2 linked regions of the Oryza sativa Japonica Group genome follow. The protein of the gene in region 2 interacts with the protein of the main gene of each other region in a pairwise test. Links are inferred from orthologs where the notes say so. Each region holds a gene or a part of one and is shown on either strand. Other genes may lie near its edges. The genes, in order: meiosis-specific protein PAIR2 and meiosis-specific protein PAIR3.

Region 1 (9,444 bases), on a different chromosome or scaffold from region 2:
TCACAAGGGTCAAGGACACTCTTGACCTGCATAAAGAATAAAAACATATGTAGCAATGAGTTTAATTGAGAAAACAGAGGTTTCCTGGTCCAAACGACTGCTATCTCCATAATCCACTACCTTCAAAGCTAACACGAGATGCTTGCTATTGACATTTCCAACTTCCATCTTCAAGGGGTTCTTGTTCCATATATTTATGGCCTCGTTGTCAGCGCAACACTTAAAAAAGGGTGGCTCGTAATCTTCAGGCTGCAAATAGCATAATAAATTAACTGTTTTCGATTCCACGAACAAAGTTCTATAGAACAGAAAAGGTTGAATCCTTCATTTGTTCAGAGCAAAAATAATTATCTATTATGGCGGCTTCAAGTTTCAGTAAATAGCAAGAACAAATTGCTGCACTCACTGTGACATCATCGTAGTATAGCAGCTTCATTAGAATGGTCCTCTGAGGACAAATACAGGATAGCATTAGGTAAGTTCAATCCATTGTAACAAATCTGTGAAGTGCAAAAATTACCTCCTCTGGCATTTGGTCCAAGGTCCTCATAAGTGAAACCAGTGTTCTTATCATCTTACAAGCAGAGCTCCTGATTGGGAACCATATGATCATGTCAGGATATCAGCAGTGACTAGTTAAAGCTTACAATAATTACTTTGCAATTGCCATACACATATAAAAACCAATAAACAACCATTAATGAGCTTATCTAAAGGACTAAATTGAAACCATACCTTCAGAACTAGAATTCTGCAAGTTGTGGAAGAATATTTAAGAACAACTCGCAGAAAAGTTGGACTCAAAATTATAAGCCCAACTATGTTTTTAAAAAGGATTTACATCATTTATTGCCACCTCACAGTCCTATGTACCTAAATTTACAAAGTTACTGGAATCTATGTACCTCACTTTTTCACCACATTCCTTACATAGAAAAAGAAAATCTGAACTCCTTTTAGTCATCAATTTGCTCCTACTTCTTTGAAATCATAAAATTTTAAACTATTGTTATGTTGGGACTGCAACTTCATTAAACAAACACTCTCCAAAATGTATAATGCTAAGCAATATGAAAAATTAACCATTAAATCGTAGCATTTAGCTAAGCAGCATGGATAACTAACTAGAAGTCTAGAATGAATCATAGCCTTTAAAAGGGATATGTATGAGAGAACCTCATCTGATCAGGAGTGACTTCTGCTGCATTTGATTTAAATGTAGCACTGTTTTTCTTGCTCCCTGTGCGGCTCAAGTTCATTGCAACTTCATCACCGCTCGTGTTGGGGTAGCTAAATGAGACTGCAGGGGAGTTTGACACAGAATAAGAAAATGTTTGACATATGACCCACAATCACTGATGTAAAACCAACTTTGTATGCTAGAAGTTAGCCATATTTCACATGGTAATACTCACATGCATACTCCTCAATCATTGGGCCTTCCTCCTTCTCACAGATGCAGAAGAGAAGGGTCTTGAGATATTTCTTCTGTAGTGCATCATAGACACCTAAAATTTATCACAAAAATGGATTAAATGAACAAATTGGAAAATTAAAAAGATTTAACACGTAAAACAGGACATATTTTCACCTTTTTCCATCCAATCAATCAACCTCCTCGACTCAGTATCCATGGGCATTAGCTTCTTAATCTTCATCTCTGCAATAAATAAAAGGGTGTTCCAGCTAATAATATCATATCATCTGAGGAATTTGGTGTATAAAAGGGTTAGGGACTATAGGTAATGTGACCTAGTGCCGGAACCGACTTATCATTGAAGTACTTCTCAGGGAATAGACCTCTGATGTAGCTGATGTTGTATATAGCAATGCGGAGCAAATTCCTTGTCTGTTTGGTCAAAATATCACCACGTTATCACAATAGCGTTCTACCATACATAATTCAAAGAGAGTTCAGTATTCAATGTAATAGAAATAGAAGGGCAATAAAATCATCACAAATTGGATTACTGATTAACAAGTTTAGGCCTTATTGGATCCTGGTCCACCCCCAGGGATGGACTGAAATTGTAGTTCAGTTTCCTAGCCCATCCTGGAGCATGGCCCAGGGTTTTGGGCTTGCCAAACAAGGTGAGGCACAAAAGTTCACCAAACAACAAATGTGTCATGCTTTTCAATACTTTAGCACATGTTGAATCAAATAGGGTACCAGTCCCATTCAAACACACACCTGCAATAAATTTCTTAACAAATGCATAAATGAACATGGACCATACGATATATTTCACCTACTATGCACTTGCAGTCATGGGATCCTAAGCACTTCTAGGCAAAGTGCAGCTGACCATGTGAGCAAACAAGTACTAGAAAAGACAAAGAAAAACATTATTTGATTGGATATAAACCAACTGGTTTTTTGAAAGTACAAGAGGTACCAAAGTTTGGTGATCAACCAGTAATCCTAAAACTCATGTGGCAAAGCCAATGTCCACTTATTAAACCGAGTATCTAACAAAGATGTTAAAATAGGAGTGAGAGTGGGGGCTAGTCTAAAAATCATGCCAGCAGAGGTTTAATAAGCTGGCATATAATTCCTAAAGGCATAACATAAATTCCAAATTCAAATGATAGCGCAACAAAATAACCGATTATAAACAGAAGTGCAGCTTTTCTTATCACAAACTAATGCAGGATTAAGCAAATGTCTGTTCAAACCCAAAGTAGTGTATCGGAAATATTTTAAAAAACAGAAGAAGAATTAGGTCATAGAACTATCAGAACAGGAAATCTGGGAATAACCAAACCAATACGTGTGGTACTGTGGTGTCTCAATTCCACGTCCAAGCAACAAGTTTGAAAAGAGAAACTAAAATTACTCATGGAATCTGCTGCTGCCAAAAAAACTCTGAAGTCTAAAGAGATACCAAAAGCAAGCACAGCAAGAATTCAACGAACTGAATAAATTTTAGATGCTTCTAACAATATGATTCAAAACGATTGGAAGTAGAAACTCTTCACAAGGCTATGGAAGCAAGGAAAAAACCTTTTTAGGCCCTGCCAATTTGATCGATTCAGTGAACCGTGGGGGGTATGCACCCATGATTCCAGCATATAATCATCTACGCACAAATCATCAGGCCAATGCTCGTGGGTTTCACAACGAAACAAAAACGAAACGGGATTATCAAACCAGCGAATGTCTCCTAGAATTCCAACCAAGGTAGGCAACGTTTGTTCAAAACCCAAACAACTAACAAGCCTACTGGAAACATTTGAAAAAATCGACTCATACGACTGTCAGAAATGGAAATCCTGAACAACCAGGCCCAGGCCAATACGAGTCGTGTCTCGATTCCATGTTCAAGCAAGCATTTCGGAAGCAAAATGAAGTTACTCACTGTAACTGCTGCTCCCAAAACACTTCAGAAGAGATTCCAAACGCAAAGCACATGAGAAGTTCAACGAACTGAACAATTCCTTAGATGCTTCTGGCGAAACAGTTCGAAACAACACGACTTGAATTCGAAATTCTTCGCAAGGATATCTAAGCCAGGGAAAAAAACTTTCAACCCTACCAATTTGATCAACTACGCAGACTGCAGAGACTATGCGCCTATGTTTCCAGCACGATGGTCTACGCACAAACAATCAGGCAAATGCCTGTGGGTATCACAACGAAACCAAATCGAAACGCGATTATCAAACCAGTGAATGTCTCCTTGAAATCCCAACCGAATCACCACGCGAGTAGCAAAACAAAGTGATGTGATCCGTTCAACAAAATTCTAATGCTGAGAGAATCGCACAAACCAGTAGAAATTCTGCTCAAAATTTCTGCGAAATTTAGCAAACCAACCAGAGATTTTTCACGAGAACATTATGTCAAAAAATTTTCACGAGAACAGATTCGGTGCCTCAAACCAGAGAAACAAAACTCACATCGATCAAGCAGCAGGGAGAAAAACCACCGAATCATCATTCAGTGCGATACCGAAACGATCCATCAGTTACGCATTCGAGAGATAGTGCTACACGGAGAAACCAGAAACCAACTCCAATCTGAGATACCCAGAAGCTTTTGAACGGGCGGAGAGCACCAGAGGAAGTGAAACAAAAATCCCAGGACTCATGCTCCAAACACGCCTAAATCCGCACGAGAAATCGGTTAAAATCTGCAAAGCACCAATGAAATCCACCCAAAAACACTAGCAAAGTGAGATGCTACTGATGCTTCGCACTGGCCGCCCAACTAGCACCATTTGGTAGTCAGCGGACGGAGACTACCAGAGAAAGCGAGAAACCCAAAACCCCACGACGATCTCCAAACACATCCAAAATCCGCACGAGAAATCGGTTAAAATCAGCAAAGCAACAGTTAATTCCACCCAAAAGCACTCGCAAAGTGGGGGGGGGGGGGAAATCCGACACGCGTGACCACCAACACTCGAATCAAACCCAAATCGAACGCCAGCTACTGCAAACCCCAGTACACCACACGAGCGATCAAATCCACAGCGAAAAACCTCCCAAAAACCTCGGCAGAAAACCCTCGATCGGGTGAACCGATCCGATGTCCGGCACCGAACCACCGAAATCGAAAGTCGCACGGGAATCGAACAGGAGATGGGCGAGGAGAGAAAAAAAAACTCACCAGAAGCAGCGAATCCTGCTCCGTGATCTCCGCCTCCTTCGTCTTCTGAGCCATCACCTGCATCGCAATCACCCACTCCGATCAGCACGCACACACCAGCAAGCGCAACGCGAAATCGAAGCGAGAACCCACCATTTCGTCTCTACGGCGGCGCGCCGCGCGCGAGATGAGAGAAGGGAGAGGGGAGAGGAGTGGGAGAGAGAGAGAGAGAGAGAGCGAGAGAATTTGCGGGGCTTTGGAGAGCTAGTTTTCTCTTCTTCTTTTTTAAGTACTACTGTATATATTGAAGATTTAAAGTGTTATGAATTTTTACCCGGGTGCTTTTCTTTCGAGGAAATTACCGTACCCGAGCGCCTTTTCTTTTGAGGAAATTAATTAACTTGTAAAACAAGTACTAGTAGTAGCCGTAAATTTAATTACGTGTCTGCCACGTCGACAGGACGGGCACGATGCGTTTCCGGTTTCCTGCTTCCGAGATTTGGAGGACCCGCCTACGCTGCGCCAGCCTGGCAGCCTGCCTCCAGCTATAAAAGTACTCCCCCTCGCCGTGATTCGCCCTCGTCTCCCACCCCGCTCCACCGCCACCGTCCTCCTTGCTCGCGTCACGCCGCCGTCGCCGTGCTCGCGTAGTCGCGTTCGCGTCCCACCCCTCATCCGGCGCGGCGCGGCCGCGCGGCGCGCCCCCTCCGCTACGCCATGGCTCTTCCGACGGCGACCGTTGCCAGCCTCCCGGAGCTGCGCGCCCTCGTCCGGGAGGTGGTCGGGGAGTGCCGCGTCCAGGTACGCTCCGTCGCGGCGCTGCGGGACGCCCCCGAGATGTACCTTGCCCTCTCCGCCCTCTCCGTCGACTACCAGTGGCAGGTCGAGGACGGCGACCTCGAGCGCCTCGCCGACGTCGCCGAGCTCGCCCGCGTCCTCGACCTCATGCTCAAGGTCCACATCCCGCAGCTCAAGCTCCAGCTCGTCGACGTCGACCTGCGGCGCGGGCTCCTCAACGACCTCGTCGGCTTCCGCGTGAGGGGTTCTCTCGCCATCCACGCGCTCACCCAGGACATGGCGGACGATGTCCTTGCTGCCAGCCCCATGCCCACCGCCGGCTCCGGTGCCCTGCTTCTTCAGACGCACTCCCGTCTCACGGAGCTCCTGCTGGACCGCCTCCTCCTCCACTCCATGCAGGCGCGGGCTCTCGCACTCAGGATTGGTCATCCGATCTCGACGAGTGTGCAGGCGCTCGACGAGCTTCTGCACAACGACATCGCCAACGGCGTGCGAGCGGACCGTCTCCCTGAGGCGACTCCAGGTCAACTCGATCGCGCTCTCCATCGCATTACCAACATGTTGGGATCGCCTGTTTGATTTACCTCCCTGTTTGATTTACGAACAGAATTTTGGATGTGTAGTAGTAAGAGATTGTATTGCTTAGTCCCCCTGTTTTGATTTAGGGATTTGAGAGTTGATCTACGAACAGAAATTTGGATGTGTAGTAGTAAGAGATTGTATCGCTTAGTCCCCCTGTCACTTTAAAAAACGGGAATACGCAAGGAGCGCATCTTTGTATTAAGAGGAGTAAAAGTCTGTACAGGTGAAAGAGAAAACACAGCAGGACACGGGATTACAGGAAGTCACCCAAGAGCATTAAACCCTAATCTCGCGATACAATGTTGCGACCTGAGCGCTCTAAAGGCGTGGCCGGTATGGCAGTATTGGCGAGCCGCCACAGCGCTGCCTCTTCCGCCATTGCCCTTGCCACTTCTGTCCAGCTTCTGTGCTTCTGGTTGAACACCCTGTTATTTCGCTCCTTCTAGATAGTCCATGCTGCGAGAGTAGCAATGGTATCAAAACCTCGCCGTTGAGAGCTCGGTAAGGTTTCCCTCTTGTCACACAACCAGGAGTGGAATGAGGTTTCATTGACAGGCAAGCATTCCGAGCGACCGATTGCCGAGAGCAGTAGCCACCAGAGCTGTCTTGATTCTGGGCATGCGACCAAAATGTGGTTGATGCTTTCCTCGTGCTGATCGCATAGGACACACATGCTAAGGTGGGGCAAGCCCCTGATGCTTAACCTGTCCGCCGTCCAGCAGCGGTTGAGTGCGACCAGCCAGCTGAAGTAACGGCAGCGCGGCGGCGCCAGCGATTTCTAGATCGGCGTGGATTGGAACGGGATTCGACCGAGGAACAATGCTTGGTAGGCGGAGCGGGAGGAGTACATGCCTGAACTTTCCCATTTCCAAATAAATTGGTCCTGGTGATCCGAGAGCTCTATCTCCCGCAAAAACGACCAGAGATTGAGATACTCCACGATGGCCTGCAATCCGAGGGCTCCTCGTATATCGCTTTAGGGATTTGAGAGTTGGATGTGTAGTAGTAAGAGATTGTATCGCTTAGTCCCCTGTCACTTTAGGGATTTGAGAGTTGTTATGGTTGATTTACCAATTGTTACGATTTGTTGCATTTACCAATTGGGATAGAAATGAATGATGACCTTCATGTATCAGCAAAATCTACCAACTGGGATAGAAATGAAATGATTCTACGCTCTTGATGACCTTCATGTATCAGCAAATTAAATCCAGTGGCTGCCAGATTTTTCTTTTCGTTGGCTTGTTACCTGACTTCTTGAATGTGCAACTAACCATGGTTGAGTGTTGAAATTTGTTTTAGGAATTGAGGTCAAGCTGTAGATATCTTGTCAGCCCAATGCAACCAAAAATATGTTGATAGTATAGCTGGTAGAGCATCTGTAATTGAAATTCAAATGCAGAAACCTCTTATTAACCTGTTTATCACTTGGTGTCAAACAAAAGGTAGATGTTCCAGTTAATGTCACTAGCAAAATTTAGAGATGAAAGACGAAAATGATTCAGTTGTGTCCTGGGTTAATGAAGAGAAACGCAAGCATGTAAAGTTACAAAACTTATTGGACAGTATTATAATAATGTAGTAAATGAAGAGAGAAATTACATAACCATCTACGCTGGATAAATGCTGAGAAAAACACAACTAAGATTTAACATGACAACGGCTGCAAGGCTTCGTAACAGCTAATTTAACTGTCGAGGGAACTTTTCGCTCGATGAATGTTTCAATTGCCAATACCGCTCTGTTGGCTTCAGTGAGCATCTTGCCTATAGGAAAACATTTCTTGTGTTCGCCTGTAGAACAGCTAGAAACACCACGGGTTGTATCTAGTGTTAGGCACTTGAGTGAGGTTGTATTGTCAAGAATATAACATGTTAGCTCGATCAAGCTCTTTGCAGAGCAGAAACCAGTGATCTTCACGCTCTGGAGGTTGCCATGACGATGGTGTTCAGGCATCTGCCTCAATTGCAAGGAATCTCCAAAAATTGAGACATGCCCCATGCGTTCTTGTGATACCTGAAGATGAAAAGCCAATGTGCTTCAATTGATGGTTACCACTGTAAATGGCCAATACATAAGTTTAAAGAATGAAAATTAACTTACATCCAGAAAGAAAGTCTCCAAGGAAGGAGAAGCATCAAGAAAAGAAACCAGAGAAAAATAATCATAGGCTGGGGAAAAAGTGACCATTCCAACAAGAGAAATAGTCAAGCACTTGAGGTGGAGGAATTTGCTAGGCAACATTGGTGTGTCGACCATCTGCGGAAAGATAATCAGACTGATGATATTCTTCTAAAGTACTGTTGTAAGGATATAGCAAGTCCATAATCATTTAAAGTTTTTGGGTGTACCTCATGAGGAGAGCCAATGGTTAGAGTTTCAAGATTTGGCACATTGGATGGAAGCTCTGCACAAGCATAATAGACAGCACCAGGATAGCACATGGATAGGCTCTTCATTTGCAACGATTCGCCAAGCAAGAGTTGCACATGATTAATTCCAAAGTGAAAACTACCAAGATTTGGAGCACTATTCTCTATGACTTGCAGCATTCTACATTCAAACACTTCCAGGTGGCTAAGGCGTTGCAACAGGCAAGGTATCTTCACACAAATTATTCCATAGCAATAGTTAAGTTCCAACCGCTCCAAAGCATAAGAATTAGAGAGAACGCACCCTAACTCATTGCCTGTAATATGTACAAAGGCCAGATGCAGCCTCGTCAAGTTTCTTAATTCAAGGTTGATTGTGGGATGGAAAGAACACCTGCTAAGATAAAGATGCCGCATTGAGCTTCCTCTCCCATCAGATAAAAGTGAGCACGGGAAGTTGTACTCATCATCATATTTTGAATCAAAGTAATTTGTGTTGTACGATAATATCCCAAGAGTGAGTTCTTCAATCAATGGTGTAACAGCAATCTGAAGCCAACTGTCGAGATAATAACTGGTGCTGGCATTGTAAAATATACCAGATTCAAACCTTAATGATTTGATGCCAATGCCTGAGTGGTTTTTCAGAATGCAATCAACTTTCTTGATGAAATTCAAGTCCGGTGTTTCTATACGAAATATAAGATTAGGATGATATCGCCAGAAACTACGAAAAGCACGAGACACGCACGCAGCACGAGCAGCATCCCGTAATGGCATTAGGGAGTGTATATGACTCCAGATGTCCTGCATGTATAATCAGGAAAATATTGTGAATGTAAACTATTGCCTCAGTTGGAAGGGAAAACAGTACTAGCATATAGGGTATATCCGTATAGCGCATTGGAATTTGTGGTAGGCAAATTGAACTGCATTTTTATTTTGCTCCTTTTCTCTTTCAAAGTTTTAGTAGAGTCTGTCCTGAAAAGGATACCGTATGTAGACCGTCGTCAGTGACTAGTAATGATAAACTAATATGAAACTTATGCTTAGTTAGGCAAGGACTAGCCAATAATATATTATATCTGAGCATATGTGGGT
Region 2 (9,168 bases):
CTCTCCAGTAGCTGCAAGTATCTTAGAACTTTTATTCCTTGTTTCAGACTTGATTTTGGTTTGGAACCTTCCTAGCACCACTACTAACTGATCAAAAGCCCTGGTGGAAGTCAAGAAATGAAATTAATCCAAGTAGCAAACTAGCAATCATGTTTGTACCTACTATTTAAGCCACAATGACCTAAGTCAAACCTGGTTAGGTAGTTTTCTGGGACTTTTTCTGGTTCTTTGTCTGACATTGTTTCTTGCGTCCCTGAGAAAAAAAATATTGGTCAGACCGAAAACCATGAATGCACAAGCACAACAGTAAAGTAATCAGTGTTACCAGAGGTGGCAAAATGGGTTGGCGAAGTTAATTGCCTTTTGCCCTTTCTACCCTCTTTTAGATGTGATTTTCGGCCCAGATGCTCAATAGAAGATTTATCAGGGCTGTCAACATCTGAAAGCCATTTATGAGATTTATATCCTGCATGTGAAAAACAAAGCGACAAGGCATGAATAAGCAACTTTAAGATAGATAGATGTGTGCATCTCCAATGAGAACTTTAGCTCAAGTAATTAATGTTCTGAAAGGCTGAAAATAATACAGTCGAATAACTAAACTAATAGCGAATTTAACATGGTAAACAGTTCTGATGAAATATATGTAAACTAAGGATATGCTTGCACATGGCAGAATATGCCACTTGTTGCTGCTATGCCACTTGTCAGCTATCACACAAACGGCATGCTCTCATGAATTGGCACTTTCAAGTTTCAAGATCCTTCAGTTGCAAAAAAATGTTGTGACCTAGCAGCAAGACATAGCTGAAAATCTGAAGAGCCTAACTATACAGCCACAAAAAGGAATTTAGGAAATTTTCTGCGGTCAGGCCAGTGAACACAAGTTACAATAGCAGGTTACCTGGAAGACATCTAACGGCTTAGTAAGGCAGCACTAATCGAAAATGACAGCAAAAGCAAACACAAATACTCATTTATCATGTCACATAAAATGTGTAATTGTCATAAAAAGGTCAAGTAAATGAAGTGGGTGACACAGAAATTTTTTTTCTTTTTTGCAATCTCACCACTAACAACCCTGCAAATATGCTTGCCAGTATAGTTAGAATTCAATGTTCAAATAGTCAAACTTCGAGCGTTTATGAGGCCAAAAGTAACGATGTCAAAATTTGCACCAATAAAATAAGTGTACATATCATGAACACCAATACTAACAGGATTGATCTGACAGATTATGCAAATGTTATAAGGATTATGGCCAGTGTTGATCCTATGACCTAAATGATAAATTCAAGAGGTGCTTGAAATACATAATTACATATACATAAGATTTCTGTCCAATAAGTATGGTCCACATGCAGAATAAGGGGGTAGTGCACTGTAAGTTAGCATGGCTACCTTTGAGTCTAGAATGGAAGCATTAAACATGACAGGAGCATGTCTACCCCTTTTTAATAAAGAGCCTAGAAAATTGGCATTGATGGCGTTCTGACCTTTTCTAAAGCTTGGAATAGAAATTTGAGCCCCTTCACTCTCAATAGGAGAAAGGGGTGAAAGATGTGGTTGTTTTCTGTTCTGTCTTTCCTCCTGAGAGTTAGGAGATTCACTGCCAGGTAACTCGTTGGTTTTCTCCATTTTGTCCTGGACAGTAGAACAATTAGTGTCAAACGGATAAAATTGCTCTGCTACGTAGAGTATAAACAGAACCATTTACTAAAGTTGCAATCTGCTTTAGAGATTGAAGCATACCAATGGCTCCGATTCTGGATCCGAGGTAAAGGAAGTTGATCTTGACCTGTTCACACCTTTTGGATATTTGGAGCTAAATAGGTCATCGTCTAGCATTTTACTTCTGTGGGGGGATATTTTTATGTTTGCTGCAAAAGTAGGACTTGCAAAATCATCTGGCATGTCGCTGAATCTGTCTGCCAACGGACTGGCATCCTTCTGTCCAGATTTACCATTTATCGCAGGATTCTCATCATGTTCCCATGAGTACTTCCTCAGTACAGGAGATGGATTAGCAGCAGGAGAAGGTGTGGAGTTAAAACTATTTCTTGCTGCTGTTCTGTCTGAAGCTTCAGGGATGTGGGTATTATCATTCTCCTTCTGTTGAGGCGATATAGAAGAACATTTTCCCTTGCTCTTAAAGGAAGTAAGCTGAGGAGAAGAGAGCTTGTGTTCACCATCATTTAGAGTCTTGACCAGTAAATTTTCAGATAACTGCATCTTTCGAGCCCCAACATTAGCCATCGTGTTCACCCTTCTCTCCCTTTTAGGGCTTCTAGAACAACTCTCAGCAGTTTTTCCTGTTCGGGATAAAGAAGAAAAGGAGTTTGTTTTCTCACCTTTTTTCTCTGATGGTATATATTTAGAAGGTACCTTTCTTTCCATATCATCCTGTGTAGTCTTATGAGAAATCCTGTCCGAACAATGTGCCTTCTTTGGCTCAACTTTAGCCCTCCTACTCAAGCTTCTAAGATTCCTCAAGCTGCCAGATTCACCATTTGCAGATTTTCCTACTGTTTTAGGTGTGCATTTATCGTTGAAGGCAAACACATTGTCCAATATTTTCTGCTTGGGTGTAGAACGATGAGTAGACAATGGTTTCTTTGCACTCCCGCTCTTATCCTGATGTGTGGAGCCTGTTGGTTCTTTCTTGCGCCCCAGCGAACGAGTAATAGGTCTTACTTCAACTACTTGAGGACTGTCGGAGTCTGACTCAATTGGATCAGAGGATGGTTTGTTCGCTGTTTGACTATTAAACTGAGCTGGTGTCTTAATATTATATGGAACAGGTGAAGTGAAAACCTTCTGTCTTCCTGAAGATGGTCCATTGGCAATTTGACTTTTAGGTTGGCATGGCGTCTCAATATCTTCAGGATTTGGTGAGGCAACAGCCTCCTTGTTTTGTGAAGTACCACCAAGGATCTCCCACAGTTTCATCCTGAGCATTTCACTGTTGGGCTTGTTTTTATCAGCTGATTCCACTTGACGCTTTCCTTGGGAACTCACAAGTGGTGGCCTATCTAATTGATCAAGATGACTGTCCTGTTCTCTTCTTGTTCCAAAGGAAAAGGTTCCTGTTTGCTCAATTGCATTATCATCAGGTTGTGATACAGAAACCTTAGCAGGGACAGGTTTAGGAACCTCTTTAGCAGATCCGCCGTGGTTTGCTGCTTCTGGAGAGACCTGAAGTGAAGCATTATCCATTTTGGGAGGTCTAGATCTTCCATCAGTTCCCTGAGACAAGTTCTTCTCAAATGCAGCGGTACTAGCAGCATCTCTGCCTCTTGATACAGAACTCGTCCTTGGAATTGTGACGCCAACTGATACCTTAGGGAATTTACCACATGGATATTGATTGCTGGCCAAACTCCAATAGTCACTTGATGTAGCCTACAAAAGTATAACATGCTAACTTTTTTAATACTATAATGAAAAAACATCTGAAGGTGAAAGGATAACATGAAAAAGGAAAGCATCCAGCAGCTTAGCAGAGGAAATAGCTACTCACTTTCTGAATGTTCGTCAGCTCAACTTCCATAGGTGCAGCTTTTGGGATAATAGTATACCAAATTAACTAAAGAAGGTTGGACCTGGTGAATAGAAAAACAACTGCATAAGACAAGATTCTACTGGTCTGAGACAATCTTTCAGAATCAAAATTATGCTTAGCAAATGAATACAGAGGTCTTGCAAAGCACATCTTTATCAAGCATGGTTATAGGAAGAAATTTCAAATCTGCCATCACATGTGAGAAGCACAGCTGTATCAGCAAGGGCGAAAACACCGCAAATAAGCATTGACATGGGGGCAAGGGACACTGATCCTCAACTAGCCTACCAAAGCATAAGTGAATTAGTGATACATCTGTACTTCTTTTTCCTGATTCAGCAGGCAATACATGTAAAAGATTGTCACATGGCAATATTGCAATCACGCTTGGAAAAGAAACTAGCATTGAAAAGTAGTAACAAATAACTGCATCGTTGTACTACAACTGTCAACTTTAAATTACTACAGTGGTGGTGGAGCTGCATTACATAACCACAGTACCACACCTAAATTTCTAAGCTGGATGATTTGATTGCTAACAACTTGCTTTTGATTGATAACTGCAACAGTGTACTGCTGCACTGAGGCTCAAATTAAATAGACTGCATGTCCAACAAGTCAATTTAGTACCCCCAGTGAAATTCTAGGAACAGTCCATTACAAACATATCAAACCAATATTGTGTATCAGCAATTTAAATGTGCCCTCAGCATTAAGAGATCTTCTTCCACAAACATAATACACAATCCAGGCTCCACTCACTATCTAGAAGAACCCAACTCCGTGAAAAATACTGCGGAATGCGACACTAACATAGCCTAACACTTGCGGCAGATAACCATAATTTAGAGAGACAAAAACAATCGGACAGAATTCAGGATCCAATCATCCAACGGAAACCTACACGATAGGTTTACGAACGAGGCAAATATGCAATTCCATAGCAACAGAGGCGAAAATCAGAAGCGATCGCCACGGAAATGCACAGGGCGAGTCCCAGGTCCCAACTCCCCCTCCCGAACCCTAAAATCTCCCCCCACGAGGGAGCGTGGAAACGATGCAGCGCATGCACGGGGGGGAATCATGGAGTCCAGTAAGTAGCCCAGCAACTTACCCCTAGTGACACCGGCGACGCCTCGGACGCCCTCCGGCGAAGCTACACGAACCGCGGAAGGCGAGAAGGAATCTCTGCTTCTTCTCCGACGAGCCCCCCGCGCCGTCGGGAGCGAGCCACCCCAGCCAAGCTGCTCGAACGAGAACAAGGAGACCGACGAGATCAGGGAGAACCAGCGACGAGCAAGTGAGAGAGGTGCGGAGGGAGGGGGGCTCACCTGCGCCGCCGCTCGCCGGCGTCGCGCCGCCTCGAAACCCGCGCGGCCGCACGGGGGATTTCCGCGGCGGTGGAGAGGCGAATGGGAAAGGGGAAGGGGAAAAGTTTGGGAGAGAGCGGGGGATTTTGAATTTTTGAAATTTTTGGGGGAGTCTACTCGTCTTTCGTCACGCCGTTCGCGTGCACCGGTGGTAACCTGATGTATTGCCACTGACGTGCGGGGCACACATAAGGATGGCCCACATGTCAGTCTCCCCGATTCATTTGGTCCCACATATATGCAGCTGTGGTGTATTTTTACTCCGGTACACTGATTCCCTAACCTGCTAAATGGCAGAAATTTATTGCGTACTCCCTCCGTCCTATAAGGTAGTGTTTGGTTGCAAGAATAAGGTGGGATGTAATGGGGACGAACCCACTTTTAGGGGTGTTTGGTTTAGGGGTGGGTGGGATGGGTTGGTCCCTGGAGAGGAATATTCCTTTTAGATCCAGGACCAACTGATCCGCAAAAAACTGGCGGACGAACTCGTCCCACCTAGGACGAGCGAACGGCGTCACCGTGCCATCCGCCACCTCCGCGAACTCCGCCGTGCATCCGCAAGTGTCGCCGCCTCCCTGAGCGCCGCTGCCTCGTCCACGCCCACTGCCACCTCTGCGCGTCCACGAGCGCCGCCGCCTCCTCCTCCTCCACGACCACCGTCACCTCCATGAGCGTCGCCGCTTGTCCACAAGCGCCGCCACCTCCGCGAGCACCGCCGCCGCCTCCACGAGCGCCGCCACCTCCGCGAGCACCGCGACCGCCACCTCCGCGAGCGCCGCCACCTCCGCGAGCACCGCCGCGCTCCTCTCAGATCCGGGAGCCGCCTCGCCTCCACACCCGCCGCCGCCTCCACGAGCGTCGCCACCTCCGCGAGCACCACAACCACCACCTCCGCGAGCGCCGCCACCATCGCGAGCACTGTCGCCACACCCGCCGCCTCCTCCGCCTCGTCCACGACCGCCGCCGCCTCCACGATTGCCGCCACCTTCGCGACCGCTGCCGAGCTCCTCCGGCCCCAAACGGCACTAACGGTGAGTACAAATCCGTCCATCCCATCCCACCTCAATCCCTTCTACCAAACAGAAAACTATAACCATTCCATACCATAAACCAAACAGACAATTGGAACCATCATATCCCACAAAACTAGGATAGGTCTAACCCATCCCACTTCGTCCCCAAACCAAACACTACGTAATTTTCCGTATCCAACTTTAATTTTATCTTATTAATTTTTTTATAATTAGTATTTTTACTGTTATTAGATGACAAAACATGAATGTTATTTAATTTTTTATATTTAGTATTTTTATTGTTGTTAGATGACAAAATATGAATTGTACTTTTTACAGTGACTTATGCTTTTAATTTTTTTTAAAAAATAAATAAGATGGACAATGAAAGTTAAACACAGAAACTCATAGCTGTACTTAAAATGGAATGAAGGGAGTACTTTATGGTACTATGTGCACAACAAATAGATTTTGTGGCTTCAAATTTCAAGTTAAAATACCTGGGTATAACCTGCCAAGTCTTGTGACATGAACTTTTGTCAAAAAAGTGCAAACAAATAATACAATTCTTAAAGGGTATTTCGTGCAGTTTCATCGGTACTGTACTTTGATATTTGACGATTTTGTTATTAGGGCCTCTTTTATTAATAGGACTGGCAATGGGAAAGTTTCATCTATACCACAAACATTTTTGCTAGTACTAAGTAATACCACAAGTACATTTTTAGAATAGAGGATAATATTATGGTATTACTTGATACCAGCAAAAAATTTGTGGTATAGATGGAATTTTCTCATTGGCGGATTTTCATAAGACTCAAGTTTCTATGAAAATTTTCCTCTATATCCCTTTGATTCATAGAAAAATGAAGGACTAAGATTGTATTCTTATGCTTCATATTTTATAGGAAAAATAGTAAGAAATATGAGCTTATTATGAACTTTTTTTCCCTATGGCACTGTCAAAGGTTCCTATTTTCGTTCTGTACTTTTTTATTCATGTGGAATTAGAGAATCACACCACTTTAATTCATGTGTTTCTCCTATATGTGTTTTTCCTATCACGTTAATCAAAGGAGGCCTCAAATCTAATCAAAGTTACCATCACGACTTCTAAAATACTTAGGTTTAAAACATTAAAATGATGCATGTACATATACCAAATAAATTCATGATCTCATAAACTTACTTATAATATAAAATTGTTGTTAAAGTCGCATCTATAAAGAATAAAGATCTATACTACTTAGAATGTTAGCGGTGGTGGTATCCGTACTGCCACACTATCCCTACTACTAATATTTGGGCCCCACAATATATACTAAGTACACCACCCTTCAACGAGACTATCCTGCTTCACTGCTGGTTCTCCCCAAAAATTGAAATCACCTACTTATTTAATAAGGAAAATTATAGAAGTAATACTTAGACTAAATATGTGCTTAATTGACTTATGCCCTCTTTGTTTAGGCTTAGACTTATTGGCTTAGACTTTTAAGTCAGCTTATTGGCTTATATGATTTATAAGCCAGTGAATTTAATGTCCTAAGTTTAGTGGTGGAGTCATACATATATCTCATATAAGCCAAAAAAACCTTCTCCAACCTAACTTTTGGCTTAATAGTATAAGAGTGGCTTATGGCTTCAAAAAAGCCAAACGAAAAAGTTACTTGTTTGTTTAGACTTAGACTTTTTGGCTTATAAGTTGGCTTATAAGTCTAAACAAAGAGGGCCTTAACTGAGGTAGACTGAGGCAAGCCTCCTAATCACGCATAGCTAGAAGATGGGCCGCTTAAGGCCCATAGCACATAATACTGAAAATATGGAAAAGGTGATGAGTTGGAGGATTGAAGCGGTTGGCTAGTTAAGTGTGGTTTGTGAAATATGCGAACTATATACTAGTATAAATTACCACTAGTCCTTTTGTTGAAAATAAAAGGGAGAATAGCTATTTTAGTCCCTAAAGTTTCTCTGTAGGATCAGTTTAGTCCCTAACCTTTTAAATGGTCCAAAGAAATCCTTAACCTTTGTCATAAGACCTAGAATAGTCCTTGGGTCCACCAAAATCATCATATGGATATGCCGTGTCATCATTCATGCAAAATCTACGATGAATTATCTAATTTACCCTTATGTATATCATAGAAAAATAAATATAAGGGTGAATTAGACATAACCATAGGAAAAATATACTTCTTTTTTTTCACCCTTTTGAGGTATATTTTTGCTCTTACATATACCATATTTTTTTTTAACTTTTTCCTTTTGTTTTTTATTTTCTTATACGTAAGGGTAAATTGGACAAATCATATAGATTTTGCGTAGAAAGGTGACATGGCATGTCTATGTGGCGATTTTGGTGGGACCAAGGACTATATTAGCCCACATGACAAATTTAAAAGACTTGTTTGGACAATATGAAAAATTAAGGACTAAAATGATTCAGGAGTGAAACTTTAGGGAACATATTAGCTATTCTCTCAAAATAAAATAACACCAGTTTACAGCTAGCTAAACCGGTGAACTAGGGATCGGATCGGACGCTCTGACTTTTTTTTTTCAACTATGGTTTGTGTAGCTCCATCCCAAATCATGTTGTAACATGTAACATAACGGTAGATTATCTTGTTCAGATGTAGGCACAACTTACATGTACAAGAGCTTCTTCTACTGCTTAAATAGGGAGAAAGCGAGAGATTCCCTTCGGCCTTACCCTAACATACTCGCTCTATCCTAAAATAATTTTATTTTTTACTTCTGTATTTTAAAATAAGTTTTTTAGCAATCATTGCATTAAAGTTTATAAAAGTAAAAAAAAGCATTAGAAATATACAAAGAAGCAATTACATTGGGATTTAAAAAAAGTAGGAGTATTCCAATCATTTTAATTTTGTATTGCTATATGTGAAATTGGTAAAAATAAATTTATTTTGAGATGGACGGTGTATGACTCTAGCTCCCATTGTGGCCACGGAACACGGCACATGAGATGCCTGCCATTGTACCAAGCATGCACGTACTGTTGCACGCAGCGACGAAGCAGATCTTTGTCTTCCATCCATCCATCCATCCATGCTGGTCAGTCAGTTCCTTTGAGATGCCAATGGACCGACCACCTAACCTACCACGACAGTTACTGCTTCAGAAAACCAATAAGAAAATCCACCCAATCCCGGCCACAGCATCCATTCCCAAACGATGGACAACCGTTGGATGGAGAATC

Evidence for each region.
Region 1: the proteins of meiosis-specific protein PAIR3 (region 2) and meiosis-specific protein PAIR2 interact in a two-hybrid assay, tested with the Arabidopsis thaliana proteins (2 studies listed by BioGRID). The link is inferred for Oryza sativa Japonica Group from reciprocal best matches to the Arabidopsis thaliana genes ASY3 and ASY1.

Annotation. Positions count from the first base shown.
Region 1 is NC_089043.1:24,026,984-24,036,427, reverse strand, and holds the start of meiosis-specific protein PAIR2, read right to left. Parts: upstream 4,850-9,444; 5' UTR 4,748-4,849; coding exon 4,745-4,747; intron 4,670-4,744; coding exon 4,613-4,669; intron 1,850-4,612; coding exon 1,753-1,849; intron 1,661-1,752; coding exon 1,592-1,660; intron 1,509-1,591; coding exon 1,416-1,508; intron 1,301-1,415; coding exon 1,177-1,300; intron 591-1,176; coding exon 521-590; intron 449-520; coding exon 407-448; intron 250-406; coding exon 121-249; intron 27-120; coding exon 1-26. Other genes in the region: uncharacterized protein, read right to left, coding at 7,613-7,987, 8,075-8,230, 8,323-9,150. UniProt on the Arabidopsis thaliana protein: Required for normal meiosis in male and female gametophytes. Plays a crucial role in coordinating the activity of DMC1, a key member of the homologous recombination machinery.
Region 2 is NC_089044.1:14,495,973-14,505,140, reverse strand, and holds the start of meiosis-specific protein PAIR3, read right to left. Parts: upstream 5,046-9,168; 5' UTR 4,894-5,045; intron 4,807-4,893; 5' UTR 4,677-4,806; intron 3,603-4,676; 5' UTR 3,551-3,602; coding exon 3,521-3,550; intron 3,403-3,520; coding exon 1,753-3,402; intron 1,645-1,752; coding exon 1,497-1,644; intron 467-1,496; coding exon 326-466; intron 254-325; coding exon 193-253; intron 101-192; coding exon 1-100. UniProt on the Arabidopsis thaliana protein: Required for normal meiosis in male and female gametophytes. Acts with ASY1 at the interface between the developing chromosome axes and the recombination machinery to ensure interhomolog recombination.